Linked DNA regions of Arabidopsis thaliana. The protein of the gene in region 1 interacts with the protein of each later gene in a pairwise test. Each region holds a gene or a part of one and is shown on either strand. Other genes may lie near its edges. The genes, in order: UMAMIT25, NRAMP2, AT3G52070 and WNK3.

The links.
Region 2: the proteins of UMAMIT25 (region 1) and NRAMP2 interact in a protein complementation assay, tested with the Arabidopsis thaliana proteins (one large-scale study listed by BioGRID).
Region 3: the proteins of UMAMIT25 (region 1) and AT3G52070 interact in a protein complementation assay, tested with the Arabidopsis thaliana proteins (one large-scale study listed by BioGRID).
Region 4: the proteins of UMAMIT25 (region 1) and WNK3 interact in a protein complementation assay, tested with the Arabidopsis thaliana proteins (one large-scale study listed by BioGRID).

The regions. Positions count from the first base shown.
Region 1 is NC_003070.9:3,025,524-3,031,213, reverse strand, and holds UMAMIT25 (nodulin MtN21 /EamA-like transporter family protein), read left to right. Parts: upstream 1-1,664; 5' UTR 1,665-1,891; coding exon 1,892-2,070; intron 2,071-3,460; coding exon 3,461-3,523; intron 3,524-3,599; coding exon 3,600-3,716; intron 3,717-3,802; coding exon 3,803-4,055; intron 4,056-4,168; coding exon 4,169-4,327; intron 4,328-4,414; coding exon 4,415-4,566; intron 4,567-4,661; coding exon 4,662-4,863; 3' UTR 4,864-5,152; downstream 5,153-5,690.
Region 2 is NC_003070.9:17,308,279-17,313,161, forward strand, and holds NRAMP2 (NRAMP metal ion transporter 2), read right to left. Parts: upstream 3,228-4,883; 5' UTR 3,031-3,227; coding exon 2,459-3,030; intron 2,089-2,458; coding exon 1,952-2,088; intron 1,864-1,951; coding exon 1,211-1,863; intron 996-1,210; coding exon 765-995; 3' UTR 525-764; downstream 1-524. Other genes in the region: CYCA3;4 (CYCLIN A3;4), read left to right, coding at 6-140, 226-309. UniProt on the Arabidopsis thaliana protein: Seems to be involved in iron uptake.
Region 3 is NC_003074.8:19,310,696-19,313,750, reverse strand, and holds AT3G52070 (RNA/RNP complex-1-interacting phosphatase), read right to left. Parts: upstream 1,034-3,055; 5' UTR 999-1,033; coding exon 654-998; 3' UTR 527-653; downstream 1-526. Other genes in the region: AT3G52075 (uncharacterized protein), read left to right, coding at 331-504; AT3G52060 (core-2/I-branching beta-1,6-N-acetylglucosaminyltransferase family protein), read left to right, coding at 1,724-2,764.
Region 4 is NC_003074.8:17,872,263-17,877,467, reverse strand, and holds WNK3 (with no lysine (K) kinase 3), read left to right. Parts: upstream 1-1,937; 5' UTR 1,938-2,247; coding exon 2,248-2,316; intron 2,317-2,389; coding exon 2,390-2,427; exon of another isoform or gene 2,428-2,531; coding exon 2,532-2,759; intron 2,760-2,837; coding exon 2,838-3,061; intron 3,062-3,140; coding exon 3,141-3,298; intron 3,299-3,381; coding exon 3,382-3,547; intron 3,548-3,700; coding exon 3,701-3,829; intron 3,830-3,917; coding exon 3,918-4,456; 3' UTR 4,457-4,648; downstream 4,649-5,205. Other genes in the region: CYP71A26 (cytochrome P450, family 71, subfamily A, polypeptide 26), read right to left, coding at 40-897. UniProt on the Arabidopsis thaliana protein: May regulate flowering time by modulating the photoperiod pathway.

The DNA.
Region 1 (5,690 bases):
TTGTAATAAATTGTAATAATGGTAAGCCTTAAGTGTGTGGGCCTTATTTCTCTTATTTTAAGCTATAGTGTGTGAGTGTGATTCTTTAGTGAATTTAAAAACAAAGCCTAAGACTTTGTATGTTGGTGGTTGACAGTGACAGACACATAACTCAAGCTTACTGTTGGCTCCAGCTCCAATGTAGATGCTAATTGTTCATACATAAATATGCATATGCATCCTAAAGTATATATCCAAAACGAATGTACAATGGAATTTTCCTTTTGTACGTAACAACGAAAAGATAAGATCGAAAAAATATGCGGCGAAAATTTACGTTGGAACTTGGAAGCCAAAGAGGACGCGGAAATTAATCATCTGGACGCCAACGCTAGCTTGTTTGACTTATGCAAATGGAGCATTACTCATAATTTATTCATCTTCAACTCCAAAAGCATTTCGTATAAAAATTAACCACTGATATCCAGCAAAATGTTAAGCATCACTTACTTTCTCAAATTTCAGCCAACAAAAAAGTTTAACGTGTTTGGTATACCTATGTGCTGACTACAGACCAATGTTTTATCTCTATCCATATGAAATGACATTCTTGCTCAAGGAAGTCACTGTACACCTAAGGAAAGGCCTTTTAAGAATAAATGAGGCCTTTTAAGACCAATAATTGGCCCAACAATATATGTTGTTTTGTATATGAGATTTTCTTATATTATACAAGTTTTCATTATGCATTTTACTTTAGTTTACTAAAGTTTTATATATAAATCATTATGTTTCAGTATAGTTTTTAATTAAAAATTAATTAGTTTTCTGAAAATTATACTAGCCACTCTAGTTATATCCTACTTTTTAATGATATAAATTCCAGTTATTTTCAAAGATATTCTTAAATTACGTATGTCCAACCCATTGTGTAAATGATTACCTAGTTCATACATTAAAAATATATAGTATATATACAGTATGCAGTCGAACTGAAACATGTAATAATATAATCATGAATTTAATTATATATTAAATTTTAGAAATAATTAGATGCATACATTTTGCGGATACTTACCTAGTTATATTTATATTGCATAAGATGCATGCCATTCAATATATATTCGATAATCCATGCCCAACTTCCAACCCTTTTGGGATATAAATAGTTAATTTACCATTTATGATATATATTACACACACAAAAGTTTGACAAAAAGCAAGAGTGATATAATGAAAATCAATTCAAAATACGTAAGATAATACTAATTCGATATTGTTAATCAAGCGATAAACCAAGCCCTTGGTTTAATATCACAGAAACGAGTTTTAGCAAAGGCAAATTGATTGCTTGAAGCTTGAGAAAGACATTCACAAGCTCCACCAAACCCATGAAAAAACGGAAACCAAAAAAATGGATTAAAACGAGGAAAATAAGTTAGATTTTTTTTTGACAAAACGCCAATTTGGATTGTATTAGTAATCAGCAAGGAGAAAATTTAAATAAATTGCCAAAAATATCAAATGATTCATATCACCTATTGTTTCGTGTTCTTATGCCCTAAAGAGAGTCCAAGTGTTACAAGCAAACTTCATTCTCGAACCGTTTCTCACCTTTCTGTTTAAAACATCTCTCTCTATATATATGTATGTATATAAATAAATATATGTATGTGCATGTATATATAAATGTGTGTATATATACATCTTTGGCTATAAATATAAGGTCGAACCAAAATAAAATATAGATTTGGGGAAACTAATAAATGATATAGAGAATCCACCTCTCTCCCTTATTTTTTTTTCTTGGTTTCTTGACCTATTATTATTGATTAGTAATAGTGAGAGAGGCATATTTTGGAGATACACATAAACACATAAATTGGAAGAATAAAATAAAAGAGAGTGAGAGATGGCTAAATCAGATATGTTGCCGTTCTTGGCGATGGTGTTGGTGCAAATCGGCTACGCAGGCATGAACATTACGTCGAAGATGGCTATGGAGGCCGGTATGAAGCCACTCATCCTGGTCGCTTATCGTCAGATATTTGCCACTATCGCCACTTTTCCGGTCGCATTTTTTCTCGAACGGTAAAAAAAAAACCATACTAATATCTGCCCATATACATCTTATTTGATCAACTAACGATTTTAGACATGTATGAATTACACGATTAAAACAATTGCATCGATGAAATGTTGAATTTGTTTTAATTCTTGAATAAAGCATATGGGTGTTTTTATTACTTTTTTGGGGTTAAAAGTAATTAGGTTTTAGGTGGTGAGTCTATGTTTTACAAAGATCAGCAAGAAATGCTAAACTTTGATTAGCTAAATTTTTCTTTTAGCATTGTTTTTTTGTGTTTTCAAGTTTGTCTTAACTGCGAAAGTAGAAAATGATGAAATCATATTCATCAACATAAACGTCAAAATGGTGAGTGCGTATATTAAAATATTAACGACGAAAAACCATTTACTAAATGGCTTTGTGAGTCTCATGTAGAACGTTTTTACGTCTTTGAACTTTCTTGCGTCACCTAAATTTATTACTTTCCAAAAGTTTCAAAAATCAAGCTTTTTAATTTATTGACATAGAAGTACTGCATGCTTAAAGTCTTTTTTTTTTGTGGTCAAGATTTTTTTTGATATATGTTAATAACTTAATTCATCAGTACTATACGTTGAATAGATTTAAATTCATTAATTTACTTCTTATTATTTTACAATTTTGGCAACAAATGAACCTCCATTTAGAAGACTAAAAATTAAAAACACTAAACTAATAATTAAGAAAAAAAGTTTAGCACGACATCGTCTTATTTTCCGGAGATTACGATAGAATACGCATATAATGGTATATGGTAAGCTATAAGTTTCTTGATGAATAATATTAATTCAGAATGTGAAGAAAAATGTGGTAAAGAAAAAAAAGACAAAAAAGTGGTAAAGTGACGCTGATTAATTAGTTGAAATGTAGTAGACACTAGCTTTTTTCTTTTGTTTATTGGGATTAGTATTTACCGTTATTTTTTCATAATCATGGTACCGTCAATGATTTTGGTGGTATGTGGAAACCTAAGTAGTTACATTATCATTAATTCCGTTTTCCGAGAGAGAAACAAATGAGAAATGTGACGCAGTCTCACACAATCCACGCGTCACGTTTCTTTCTTAAACCGAAGCACATGATGACAAACAAATCATGATGCCAGGTGAGTTAAGCGTCGTCAGGTGCCGTGCCATCTTCATTTGCCAAGACACGTGCTTCTTCAATTACGTTTTTTACTCTGTTTCTCCACTCTAATCTCTTCATATGATATGAGAAGTGAATTTGATTGTTTTCTTGAGTCTCGGTTTAACTTAACCGGGTGGTTTTAGGATTAGTTGCATGATTACATTCAATGAGAAATGCTTTAATTGATTAATAATGATTAGTGGACTAATGAAAACATAAATTTTTCATACACGGTTTCTTGTGCAGGAAGACAAGACCGAAGATCACACTTAGGATTCTTGTCCAAGTCTTCTTCTGCTCCATTACTGGGTATCTTACATACACTTTACCTACTAATTGCAATCTTACTTTGTTATAAAGCGATTTACATTGATTTTCTTTGCAGTGCGACTGGAAACCAAGTGCTATATTTCGTAGGACTTCAGAATTCATCTCCGACCATTGCTTGTGCCTTAACTAATCTCTTACCAGCGGTCACTTTCCTCCTCGCCGCAATATTCAGGTTATATGAAATTAATCTTAATTAAGTTTCCTTCAGACAATACTCGTTTATGATTATTGCTTAACACAAGACTTTTTTCTTTTCAGACAAGAAACCGTGGGGATCAAGAAGGCATCAGGACAAGCCAAAGTGATAGGGACGCTAGTATGTGTGATCGGAGCCATGGTTCTCTCCTTCTACCATGGTCACACCATCGGCATTGGAGAATCCAAGATCCATTGGGCCTACGCTGAAAACATCACGAAACATGGTTCCAGTTCTGGCCATTCTAATTTCTTCTTGGGACCTTTTCTTATTATGGCTGCTGCCGTTTCTTGGGCCGCTTGGTTCATTATCCAGGTAACTTAATTACTTAATTAAAAAAAAATGTAGCTTCAAACAATTTGAACCCACATAATGGAAAATGAAACTAAATTCTCATTTGGTTATGATAAATATTATTTTGGTTACAGACGAAGATGAGTGAAACATTTGCAGCACCGTACACGAGCACACTACTAATGTGTTTGATGGGAAGTATCCAATGTGGAGCCATTGCTTTGATCTCCGATCATACAATCTCTGATTGGTCTCTCAGCTCTCCTCTCCGCTTCATATCCGCCCTTTATGCCGTAAGTCCACATACATATACTATGATCATTAGATAACAATCTTAAGCTAAAAATATATGACACTAGTATAAAACACGGATCATGCAGGGAGTGGTGGCGTCTGCGTTAGCTTTCTGCCTAATGTCATGGGCTATGCAGAGGAAAGGTCCTCTGTACGTCTCTGTTTTCAGCCCTTTACTTCTCGTAGTTGTCGCCATTTTCAGCTGGGCTCTTCTTGAAGAGAAACTCTACACCGGCACGTATGTTTCTATACATCTTTATCTATCTCTCTGTGTGTTTAAACATTATATAAACGAGATGATGATGATGAATTTATATGATATATGTATATTAGGTTTATGGGATCAGCACTTGTGGTTATTGGTCTCTATGGCGTATTGTGGGGGAAAGACAGAGAGGTGAGTGAGAAGGAAGAAGAAAGGGAGAAGGTGAAACAACAAAACCATAAAGTCAAGAGTGAAAGTAATGAAGATATTGAATCGAGATTACCGGTAGCAAGTAGTGGAAATGGTTCCACAAGGTCTACATCGCCTTAAAATGGTGATTGCTTCTTCATCATATATAAGTATGAGCTATGGAAGAACCTTTTGGGATTTCTTGTTATCTAAGTTACTGCAACTAAATTGGATTTTCGGAGTGTTTAATTTTGTATCCCATTTTGAGGCTAATGATGGAGTGTTGATTTGTGTGTTCATCCTATGGACAACAAATATCACCTGTTTGATCTCTATATATATTCAGTATTCTTAATCTTCATCGTTTCCATTATCTTATTTTCTTTCTAATAACCTATTTCCTTTATCCCCAAAACAAATCAAATCATAGTCTTCAAGTAATTTATTTTATGTTTTGTCAGAGGGTGAAAGTTATTACAGACCTTCAATATTCATTTAGACCCAAAATGTAAAATAGTGCCTTGAAACAGAGGGTTTCGGTTCGTGCAAGTCAATTACAATTGGCTGTAACGGTTTAATCCTGGTTTAGTAACTCAAGTGTTATATACGAATCAAAACAGAGTCGCTGTTCTGTTTTGTTAATCTTCTTCGTCATTCTTGATTACGAGTTGCAAGGTTTATCTCGGTTCATGTACCTGTAATCGATAGATATAGTAGATTTGATACAGAACATGGAGAATCACATGCGATTTAGTTAGACTTAATTGTCAAAGACAAACACTATGGACATTTATTAGTATTATTGACCACCTGATTTTGCCATAAGGTCATAATTCATAGAAGCAAAAACAGAATTAGATCTTACAGAAAAAGATATATTATATTATATCCCAAGTGTTTATTTTTATCCTTATCAAGTTCAGTTCAATTCAACCTCAGCATCAGCATCGCCATTAAAAACATATATG
Region 2 (4,883 bases), about 14 Mb from region 1:
AACAGAATCAAATGCTAGAAGAATACACAAAGTACAAAGCAGCTGATCTACAAGTGTGCGTGGGTATCATACATGACTTGTATCTAAGCAGAAGAGGAAACACTCTAGAAGCTGTTAGAAATAAGTACAAGCAACACAAGGTAAATTCAACAATTCAATGATGTAACTTTAAACTTGTGATATATTGCAACAAGAACATTCTAATATCTGATTCTCTTGGTACAGTACAAGTGCGTTGCGACCATGCCTGTTTCACCGGAGCTACCTCTTGCTTTCTTTGAAGATATTACCATTAGAGGAATGGCGTAAAAGAAGCTTGAAGCTTATGTATTGGAAGTGTTAGTTACCTGAATTTTGGGTTGTATATATCTGTTAGAATGGCAGATTAGTATTGAGTATTATCTCTTTTAGCGTATGTTCAATGATTTTTGCTAACACTAGTTAAGAAACTTTTTTTTTTTTGCTTGACCATTTTTTCAATGGTTTATTAGATTTTTATTGATTTGTTTTCTGCTTTTTTCTATGATGTAAAAGCCTCTTTAAATCATATTGGAATGTGCACATCCTCTTAACAAAAACAAAAAAGTACAACAAAGACTTTGCCACTACATATTTGTGATGTTAACATTCACAAAAAGCTAAGCTAACTCTTATCACCACTTTGGCGTTTCAATATGTATAAGACTATAGTGGATGAAGTTTGTTTACTGTATCTTCTTGACATGTAACAAATGGTCTTGAGGGCAGTTATTTTTGTGCAGCTACTAGCTATTGGAGACGGACACTCTTTTGGGAAGTTCTATGGAAGAGGATGACCAAGGAGAAGGAAAAAAGTTGCTGTGTGAAATGAGGTACACTATAAAGGCGATATAAGCAGTCGTCCAGACGCAGACCGTAACTCCAAACAGAAACCCGTCGACTTCTGATACAAAGAAATCCAACAGAAGATACCCATTGATGATCATTACAAGTGCAGCCACAGTCCAAGCTATTCTCTGCAATGTAATCAATAAATCCAATCAACTTACAAATACTCACTCTTCATGCTTCTCTATTCCATTGAAGGACTTTCAATTCTACATGTTTACTAAGATAATTGCACAAACAGTGAAACTAAAAAAGTCGAGACACCTAAAACGATAAGACTCAACACTAATTCACCTATTGTGGTATCCTATGGAGACTTGTAGTAAAAGAAGTGGAAATTTACCTGGAGAATAGGCCCAATCTTGAAGTCTCCCATAATTTCTTCTTTGGATACCAAGGTTAGAAGAGGGAGAAGAGCAAAAGGAATTTGTACAGACTGAAGGACATTGAGCCATTCATTCAAAACATCCAAGGAAGCTTCAGAAGTATTGAACACGATTGCCACAATCATTGTAGGCACAATAGCACAGCTTCTTGTTATTACTGCCCTCATCCATTTCTTAAGCCGGAGATTCAGAAAACCGCCCATTATAAACTGTCCAGCATATGTACCAGTTATCGTACTGCTTTGTCCGGCTGCTAACAACCCGATACCCCAGATATAAAGAATCGGAAGAAGCCCGCCTCCAAACTTTTCTTGAAGATACTGACCAGCATTAACTAGGCCAATGTTATTAGCTTTCTCAGTTCCATAAAACCCCTTTGCAAAGACAGTAGTCACAAACAAGTTAATCATGAAGGAGATGAAAAGTGCGACGGATGACTCGATCAAATAGTAATTAAGCGCTTCTTGAACCCGGGATTTCCTCTTCGGATCGATTTTCCTCGATTGTACAAGAGCCGAATGCAAAAACACATTGTGAGGCATTATAACACAGCCAACAACACCTACAGCTTGCCTAATTGTCTTTGAGCTAAGTCTCGGTAGTAAAATACCTATCCATAAACACAAAGATTTGATTTTTAAGCACTCAAATCAAAGCAAATAAAGTGAAATTCAAGAGTAAAAATCTGAAATCTTTACCTATCATAAGTTCTTTCCCACTCGGTTTTGTTTCACCAAACATCCAAGCAAAGGACAAACCCATAGTTGCGATCAAAACTGCAAAAACAGCTTCTAACTTCCTCACACCGTAATTCTCTAGAAACAAAAATAAAAAACTGTTTGCAACAAATTCATTAGCCAAGTTTTCAAAATACAAAAAAGCAAGTTTCTTAATTTCAGATTCGATCACAAATCGTTAAACCAATTCTCTACTGATTTGTGAGTTTGGATCATCTTAGCAAAGTTTTACAAGAAAACAGCCAAAGTAAAAGCAAATTCTCAACTTCAGATTGAATCATGAATCTCTAAACCAAGTTTCTACTGATTTGTGAGTTCGAATGATCCATACTCAAACTCAATACCGCTAAGATGATCCGCAAAGTTTTAAAATTTCAGAATGAATCATAAGATTCTCCAAACCAAGTCTCTACTAATTCTACGAATCCAACATCTCTAAAGAACGAATAGAGTATCGAAAGGACTCACCAATCGGAAGCAGTAATAACAACACCAGCCCAAAGAGGCAAGAAGCCACGGCTAAGAATCTGAATAGCAATAGCACTACCAATAACCTCTTGAATATCAGCACCAATCAAAGCAAGTTCCGCCATAGACCAAAGCACATACCTAGCCCAAGTAGGATACTCATCACGACAAAGCTCAGCTAAATGACGACCAGTAGCTACACCGACTCTAGCTGACAACATCTGAATCAACAACCCCATAGCTGTTGCCCACATTAGTAGCCACAACAGAGAATAGCCAGCGATTGCACCAGCTTGTAGATCTCCTTCTAGATTCCCTGGATCCAAAAACGCTATACTCATTAAGAAACCTGGACCGGTGAATAACCAGAGCTTCCGCCATGAGAATGGCGGTGGTGTGTCTCCGGTTGTTGGATCGTCGGGTGATTCGAAATCGACGATTAGGATCTTTTCGTTTGTTTCGAAAGCCGCTTCGGATTCGGAATCGGTGGATGGGAGAGATTGTGAAGGAGGAGGAGGAGGAAGAAGACGGTCTTCCTCTTCTTCGAGATTCTCTTTGACGTCGTTTTCCATGGAGGAAGAGGGAATATTCGGTGAGGGTTAAATCGGAATATTCTGTCGGTGGTGGTGGTGGTGTCGTCGACGTACCTGAATTTTGAATTGGAGGGATAAAAGAAGAAGAAGACGCAGGCACTTAATCAGATGCTTTTTAAAAAAGAGATTAATGCGTTTCTTTTTCGTAACTTTTTGGTACCAGATTCAACTTTATTATATTAATGCCTAAAAAAGAAGAAAAACTTTATGTTATAAATTTGCTTTGAAATTATGTATTTAGTGTAGTGTTGCCATAGTTGTATTGTCACAAATTTGAATAAAGCTTTGCTTTTTAATGACGTTAATTGAATACAAGGTAGTGAATAAAGTGTGTGTTTTATACATTTTTAGATCCATTGCTTGATCTATCTCTTCCTCTCTTTTATAGATCACAATGTGTGAAACTAAATATCCCACACCAAAAGTTTATTGAGTTTCCAATATAAGATTCATGATTAGTTTTTTAGAGCTTCATGAATAGCATAGTTGATATGATTGTATTACTCACATTCCAAAAATTTATGAGCAGAAACTCAACCATTGATAAAATGTTTTTTTTTTTTTGATGCGATGCAAATTATGAAAATTTAACCTCCTCATCCGAAAGTCTTTTAACTAGAACTCAGTTTTAATCTCATCAGAAATTACTGGTTTACATTCAATAAGCTTACTAAATTTTTTTGCTGAATTTTCCAAAGTGAACAAATCATGAGGATTTTTAGTTAAGTGAATATTTAGTGACTATTTTTCTTTTTTTCTTTTTTTTTTGTATCATGAGGATATTTAGTGACTAGTATTTTTGTCAATCCCTTCATGTGTGTTTTCATCACTCATTATTTAAATCATAAAAACATGTTATTCGTTTTTTTTGTGTGTTTCAACTTTCAAGCATGAACATAATTAGTATTTCTACTGTACCTTCTTTTACCATATTTCAATGAGTATCTACATAAAATAGCCATGGATTCAAAAAAAATTAAGAGAATAGCCATGAGCTACAGGGGTAAGTCGGAAACACATGTAATTTTACATGTATAACCTTAGACATCAAAGCGACAAGACACTGTTTGGGGAGCGTATGATTCTGGGTTTGAAATTTGAATTCTATTGCATTATTCGGCCCAAGTTTGTCTCACGACCAAAGTAATAACCCTAAAATTAAAAAAAAAAAAAAAAAAAAAAATTTTTCTCACCGAAAAAACCTCTCTCGGCGGCGATTAATTTCATCGTCGTTGCTCTCATCTTTTCGATCCAAGTAGTAGTTGTTTCTAGAAATTGATTGTGTTTCCGATTATCCTTTTCAAATCGTCTTCTCGTTGCAGTCGCCGGTGACAATCGAAGGATTAATTTTTGGTCTTCCCTCGCCGACGATTTGGGTAAGTAGAACCACTGATTTCCGATTATTTACAGTTGCTCTTCTTATTTCTCTTCCCCTATACCTTTAATTGCATGTCAATCATCGCTTGTGTCTAGATCTAAAGTTCGGTTCGTTGTTAACTAACCCTAATTTTGTTTCGTGTACTGTTGATGAATGAAAGTTAGGCGACCATCGAGAGTTTGCGGCTAAAGTCTCTGTTTTTTTTTTGGGAATCCTTCTGTGCTTTTTTGGAAAACACATGAGGTTTGTAAATATTGATGTGCTTTGTTTGAATAACCCACGAGGTTTGTAGATATTGCGTCCTTTATCTGTGTTTCTTACATGCAACTAACCCATTTTTTGTCTCTTACTATTCACGAAAGAAGATTAGGCGATATCGGAGGCTTTTGTGGCTGACGCTGTGGGTTTTGTTTGAAAAACACTTGAGGTTTGTAAATATTGTCTTTTGATCTGT
Region 3 (3,055 bases), on another chromosome or scaffold:
AGCATATAGGAGAGATGGAAACTCTTCTTTTTCCCAATGTTCCATCTATAGCGGAATTGTTAGATGACGCTGAAGTTGTTGGATTTGATGAAACAAAGGAGGAACGTTTTTTCTTTAAGATCATTTGCTGATTCTTGTTTCCTTACCTGAACACTCCACAACCAAGCTTTTATCCCAAGCTCTTTGCTTATAGCTGACTTAGAGGTTGGATTGTACAGGGAAAAGCTCGCAGTGATATGACTATGGAGGAAAGGTTTGGTGCAGCACACAGAAGGAAAATGGATGGGGCTCTCTGTTTAAGGAGGATAAATTGGAGGAGGCCAATACGAAATGGTTAGGAATCTCTCTTTCTTTCTAACAATTACGGTCAAAGTTTTGGTTTTCAAGGCATACTCAGCGACTCTGCCCGAGGCTCTTGCATCTCCTTTCGGCTCTAAAACAAAGAGCCTTAACTGGTTGATAGTGTTATCGCAATGGTTGGTTTGCCTTTTCTGCCGGAGTTAAAGCAGATAAAGAGGTATGAGAAGCTTAACAATTCAATTATATAAGACCAAAGTGAAAGATCACAACTCTCAATTCTCCTATGTCGGAATTGAATTTCTTATCTTATTACTGATTTGTGCAGAATTTACAAGGAGGAGCTAGCTTAGCTACTACCATGAAGATTTGGGGAAGCTGAGATGTTGCCAGGAGAAGTAAGCACAAACCAATAGTTGAGAGATATAAACATAAACAGCAAAAGAGAGACTCATAAGCATCAGGTCCTTGACGTCTCCTTTCTTCTTCTCTGGCTTCAGATTCTTCCCAATCTTCCCAGCCTCTGAAATCATCCTTCTCAATGTTCTCTGGATCACTCCTTCATTCTCTTCTGGTAATTTCTGCTTCCGACAAGACATCACTCTCATAGATCTAACTCCGTGTCTGCTTGAGGCTTGTCTCTTTGTACGGTGGTTAGTGCAGAGTGGGTGGTAGTAGAAGGTGGTGGAGAGAGCCGCCATGAGAAGATGAATAGAATAATTGAAGAAAGTTTTTTGTTTTGGGAATCAAAAGTGAGCAGGAAAATATCAGAATCTTGATAGCTTAACGACAAAAATGATTTGAAAAATGGGTGGATAGATCTCATCTAACACACACACATGTAGTCACAAGGTACACGCCAATGCAAAACCAAATTGGCCGAATTTCTATTCGGTTCGTTTCAACTAATTCGGTTTGTTTCGATTTCTAAACCGAAAACCCAAATTTTTTGATCCAAACCGATTCTGAATGGCCAGGTAATCAGGTATAGTCGGAAGCATCTACAAATTCACAACAACAACACATTATGTCTGACTGGTGAGATAAATGATGACTGAGTGGATAAGCAAAGAATAAAATAATGTCATAAAGTCAACAACATGTCTCTGTGACTCTATCTCTATCCTATTATTAGATTTAATCAGATAACTTTAAAATCTGGTTGCTGAAAAAACCGTATCTCATTATTATATAAATAGAGAGAGAACAGCCCCACGTAAACAAATAGCGATAGAGCAACTGTGTCGATTGTCCCAAATAATTTTAAAAATAATTTCACGTGTCCCCATTTTGCTGACGTCATTATTCCCCTTTTTCCTTTTTATTGTCACATCAGAATTTTTTCTAACTCATTCATTTCAATCAATCTTCTTCTTCTTCTTCTTCTTCTTCCTCAGAGAAATTCTGTGTTGTTGTATACAGAGAGATGTTCTCATCTTCTACACTCGTTTATTCTCTATCTCTCTTCCTCTCTCTTTCTCTTCTCTTCTTCCTCTTCATCCTCTCACCACACATCCTTCTCTCTTCCTCTACCCTCATTTCCACCGCCGATGACCTAGACGACCTCTCTCTCTTCCACCGCGCCGTCGTCTCTTCCTCCACCAACAACAACCGTCGTCTCATCTCCCTCTCTCCAAATCCACCCCCAAAGATCGCTTTCCTCTTCCTAACAAACTCCGATCTAACCTTCTTACCTCTCTGGGAAAGCTTCTTCCAAGGTCACCAAGATCTCTACAACGTTTACATCCACGCAGATCCAACCTCCTCCGTCTCTCCTCTTCTCGATTCTTCATCAATCAACGCTAAGTTCATCCCGGCGAGAAGAACCGCACGAGCTTCTCCGACGTTAATCTCCGCCGAACGACGATTACTAGCAAACGCAATCCTCGACGATCCTAACAATCTCTATTTCGCTTTAATCTCACAACACTGTATCCCTCTCCATTCCTTCTCTTACATCCACAACCACCTCTTCTCCGATCATCATCAACAAAGCTTCATCGAGATCCTCTCCGATGAACCGTTCCTTCTGAAACGATACAACGCAAGAGGAGACGACGCGATGCTTCCTGAGATCCAGTACCAAGACTTCCGTGTTGGATCTCAGTTCTTCGTATTAGCGAAACGTCATGCTCTAATGGTGATCAAAGAGAGAAAGCTATGGAGGAAATTCAAATTACCATGCCTTGATGTTGAATCTTGTTACCCTGAAGAACATTATTTTCCGACTTTGTTGTCTCTTGAGGATCCTCAAGGATGTAGTCACTTTACACTCACACGTGTTAATTGGACCGGTAGTGTTGGTGGTCATCCTCACACGTACGATGCCTCTGAGATCTCGCCGCAGCTGATTCACTCTCTGCGGAGATCTAATTCGAGTTTAGACTATTTCTTCGCCAGAAAATTCACGCCGGAGTCATTGCAACCGCTTATGGAGATTGCAGATGCTGTGATCTTTAGGGATTGAATTCGGTGAAAGTAAATTAGGTATAACACTGAAATCTCAATGTGTAAATATGAATACAGTTTGAGAGTTTAGTTTCAATTTGCTTATCTTCTTGTTATTGTGTTCAGGTTTCAGATATCATCATAAGGAAGGTTTAGGAAGAAGCTTGTGTTGGCGCTCGAAGAAGAGTGGCTAAATAAAGATGAACTTCTGTGTGTGTGTGTGAAAATTGCTGTGTTTTTTAAGCTTTTGTGTGTCTCTAGGGAAGGTAGAGATATGGGAAAATGGATGTAAAAAAGAATGTAAATAGAG
Region 4 (5,205 bases), on another chromosome or scaffold:
AAATCTGAATTGGTATCATTCAAAAGTGTGTTTCCTCACCATGACAATTGCCTTTATGCTAACACGGTTGATTTCAAACCCGACGGTCTTATCTCTTTGAATAGCGAGCAATACATCCACAAAATCAGTCATATCTCTGTTTCCATCGACATGATCTTGCACAACTCTCTCAAAGAACTTATCAACATCGTTTGCCGTCTTTTCTAGTTGACAGTCTAAACCGCGGATCCAATCAATCCACGCAAGCCAAGGTACATAACTCCCCACACTAAACGTCCCCAATAGTTTATTTAGTCTCTCCATTAACTCCTTAAAATCCGTTTCACCACCGTATTTCCGTCCCAAAGCAACTTTACATATCACATCGTTAGTTAAACTCACCAAGATCTTGCTTAGATTTACCGGCAAAGAAATCGATTTCCTGATCTTTTCCATCATCAGACTGATCTCTTCTTCTCTCACTTCTCGAAAGGATCGTACCATTTTGTTGCTGAATAGATGGAGGACGCACACACTTTTCATTTGCCTCCAGTACTCTCCATAAGGAGCTGAGGCCACATCATGCTTATCGTAAAGAAGTTTCTCGAAGATTTTTGACCGTGGCCGGCTTGCGAAAACACGGTCATGCGTCTTCAAAACGTCTCTAGCCAATTCAGCTGAAGATACTACAAGAACGGGGACACGGCCAAAGTGAAGAAGCATAAGAGGACCGTACCGGTGGCTGAGAGAGCATAGTGATCGGTGAGGGTGGCGGCCGAGTTGATGAAGGTTTCCGATCAACGGTAGTCCCGGTGGTGACGGAAGTGTGTTTCTTTTCTTCCCTCTCTTCTGTTTTCTGAAAATTATGATGGTAACTACAAAGATTATTGAGCATAACAGAAAGAACATGATCATCATGTCTGGATTCTTCAAGTACATCAAAACGTGTTCTTGTGAAGAGTTTTTATTTGTGGTTTTTTTGGACTTACATATACAAGCCAAGTTTCTTCACGGTAGTACTAGTACGTAATTACTGTCCACTCAATCTTTTGGACTTATGTATTTATGCATGCACCAGTCTTTTAATGTTTAGTTCTTCGAGATTTTTCCTTGTGAAAGTCATTTGGTGCGTTTACGATTTATGTCTTATTTTGGTCGTGTCACCGTTCTAGTCTTTCGGTGCTTCCACGATGTGTCTTACCACCATACAATACAAGTGCCTAGGATAATGGTCTCAGGCTGCCGTCAGCTCTAAGGATTTATATACTCTGGGCCCAATGGGCCTTACAAAAATTTGATGATCATTGTATATAATCGGTTTTTAAACGGCTGAACCGCCAATTCATACTCATCAAAAATACAACGACAACATTGTTCAACAAACAATTCTCCATGAAAATTTAAATGTCCTAATTCGTCTCAAACATTCTGTCTCCAATATGTAAAACATTTATATTTTGAGATATAAGTAGAAGTAATAGATTATAACAAATGATCATAACATTAGTGTAGTGATTTGTGTCAGTACAAGTTTCTATTTAAAGTGTAACAACATTGAATATTTATGTTTCACCAAAAACTATGACTATTATTCTATTAATCCTGAGAGAGAGAGCAAAACCCTTTAGTGAAAAGTTTCCTTAAGTTTAAAAGAACTGAAGCTGAAGTCCAAATTGTTGTTTACACACAGTAAAATCGAATTCGTTACCATGACAAGCGGGTTCAATGGCTAAACATTTTGTAATTTACCAAACCCATTATTCGATTTGTAGGATAGTCAATTATAGGGTTCTTAGTCAGCTAAAACAGTGACTTAAGAGTTAAGAAGGGGAAAAAAAAAGTCCGAATATTTTATATTCACAACACCATGAAGTTGACTGAATAAGCAAAATAATTGATTAGAGTAACATGACAATAAATGAGAAGAAAATCAAATAAAAAACCAGATCCATGGCGCGAAAAAAGCAACGACCCACACCTTTGCCACGTGGTCTTGTCCAGTGGATCTGAGTGTCCTAAATTCGAAGATGAGAAAGAGAGAGAGTGTACAACATTCTACAGTCGACACCATTATGATCAGCAGCTGGAAAAGCTTAAGCTTGGTTTTAATGGCACAAAATCTAAATAATCGATTTATACACAAAAAGACAGCTAAGTAATGATTATTATTATTATCAGAAACTGCTTCAAAACTTGTTCTTCCTTGACTAAATTTCTCTCTTCTCTCAAGAACTCCTATCATCTGTTTTGAATTGCAAGTAACCAAGAATGCGACAAGACGAGAATAACTCCGAGGAAGAATTCGTTGAGATTGATCCCACTGGTCGCTATGGCCGGGTCTGTTCTTCTTTACTTGATTTTAGTGTTACCTTTTTCTCAATTCTAATGTTTTTGTTTCTCATGTTTTCAGTATAAAGAAGTTCTAGGCAAAGGAGCTTTCAAAGAAGTGTATCCTTTTTCTTAGATCTCTGTTATTACTACAGAGACAAATCAGATTAGATTCGGACAAGACACAGTCACTAAAGGGTTTCTTTGATCAGAGAGTTCTTCAGATACAGAGCATTTGACCAACTTGAAGGAATCGAAGTGGCTTGGAACCAAGTTAAGTTAGATGATAAATTCTGTAGCTCAGAGGATTTAGATCGTCTTTACTCTGAAGTTCACTTACTCAAAACCCTTAAACACAAAAGCATCATCAAATTCTACACTTCTTGGATCGATCACCAACACATGACTATCAATCTCATCACCGAAGTCTTCACTTCCGGAAATCTTAGACAGTCAGATTCCTCTCTCAGAAGTCAAATCAAATCTTTTTTATTTGATCAATATTATTCATGTTTGACAAACCCTTATAGGTACCGGAAGAAACATAAGTGTGTTGATCTAAGAGCATTGAAGAAATGGTCAAGGCAGATCTTAGAAGGGCTTGTTTATCTACATAGCCATGATCCTCCTGTGATCCATAGAGATCTTAAATGTGATAACATTTTCATTAATGGGAACCAAGGTGAGGTCAAAATTGGAGATCTAGGGCTAGCCGCGATTCTGCACCGCGCTCGCTCTGCTCATAGCGTCATCGGTGAGATCTTTAATCTTGTTCTCAAACGAAAAAGTTTCTCCATTGTGAAACTATAATTTTGTGTTTGAAATTGTTTAAGGAACTCCTGAATTTATGGCGCCGGAACTCTATGAAGAGGACTATAATGTACTTGTCGATATCTACGCGTTTGGAATGTGTTTGCTTGAGCTGGTAACTTTTGAATACCCGTATTCCGAATGCACAAATGCTGCTCAGATTTATAGGAAAGTTACATCGGTAAGTGATCATATTCCCATCTCATATCCAATCAAGAATGACTTTTTCCATATTGTCGATCCATTTTTCTCAATGCTTCTTAGGGAATCAAACCAGCCGCTCTTTTAAATGTGACTGATCCGCAAGTGAGAGCATTCATAGAGAAGTGTATCGCAAAGGTCTCGCAACGCTTGTCAGCCAAGGAACTACTTGATGATCCTTTTCTGAAATGCTACAAGGAAAATACCGAAAACGTCAGCTCTCACAAAGGTAATATCAGATTATGGTATTTCATTTCATCTCAATATGAAGTGTCATGGACTCCTTTCTTAAAAGTTAAAATCAATAATAGTAACATAAGATAGTTTCTATATTTTTTCTATGTGAAATTTTCTAACACCAAGTTCAATAACATTGTCACAGAAAATGGTTACAACGGAAACGGAATCGTGGATAAACTCTCGGATTCTGAGGTAGGCTTATTAACCGTAGAAGGCCAACGTAAAGACCTCAACACAATCTTCCTAAAACTACGTATCACCGATTCCAAAGGTTCAAAATCTTTTTTGCTTTTTTTATTACAAATCTTCAGATCATTACTAAATCTTCTTTTGACACAATAATAACATTTTTTATACAGGTCAAATCCGCAATATCCACTTCCCATTTAACATAGAGACAGACACATCTTTCTCAGTCGCCATCGAAATGGTCGAAGAACTAGACTTAACCGATGATCAAGACATCTCAACGATAGCTAAAATGATCGACACAGAGATACATTCACACATCCCCGATTGGACCCCTTCTCGACTTATCGGTGATGATTCAGCGGTACAAAAATGTTTGTCTTCTCCAGAGACGCTCCATTTAGATAGATTTCCTTCAGGGAGAAAATTCTGGTCCTCTCCTAAAGCTGGAGCTGGAGACTCACGTTCACCGTTTGCGCCACGGTCTAATTCTAAGTTGTCGTCAGCACAAGGACCGATCAATCAAGAAGTTGGGGTTATAGTAGAGAAACTTGAGTCTTTGTTGAGGAAACAGAGAGAGGAGATTGAAGAGATGCAGAGAGATCAAGAACGTATTGTTACTGAGTTCTTAAAAGAGTTTCCTCCTGAGATTTGTGAAGAGGCTTTGGTGAGATTGCAAGTTAAAGATTCTGATAACTTATTGTGTTAGTACGTTTTTTACATTACACACTCTCGTCAAGATTAATTTGGTTTGCAATATTATGTTGTACTAAAGGTAAGTAAATGTGTAACAAAATTGTGACAGTTATGATTGAAGGAAAACTATTTGTCAAATAATATTTCTTGAATTAGTTAGGTGAAGACGTAACTAGCTCAGAAGAGTCTGGGAGAAGAAAAGAACGCGGTGATGATAGGTCACATCACTGTGTTCTTATTCACTTGATTCTTCTGAGCTAGCCTCGTCCTCTTCACCCAACTCTTATGAACCTTACTCGTCTTCACTGGACTCACTTGCAGAGACTCTAATAAGGTTGTCTTATGATCTATGCTCGCCTCTCATAATCTTAGAAGAAGATATAGAGCGGTTCATATTTTGTTCTCTCTCGCCTATTAGGTTTAATGGGTACTGGTGTTTCTTAAATAGCGTATGCCTCAAGATAATATATTAGGGTTTCATAGATAATAAACCTAATCACCAAAACATTTGGCATAAATGGGCTAAAAGCCCAAAATTTCATAAAACTACCTTAAAACATCTTTATAGGAAAGAAAGCGTTTCAGGGAGTAAGCAAATATAAGCATATGGCAGCGTCAAGGACTCAAGGGATCCAATCAAAACTACAAAGAGCAAATAAATAATCAAAACAAAAACTGAAATAAACTAAATTCTCATACTTGTTCAGGAATTGGTTTCTGATCCGTCGAAGCATGCACTCCCTTGCTCTGCCATGAAGAAAA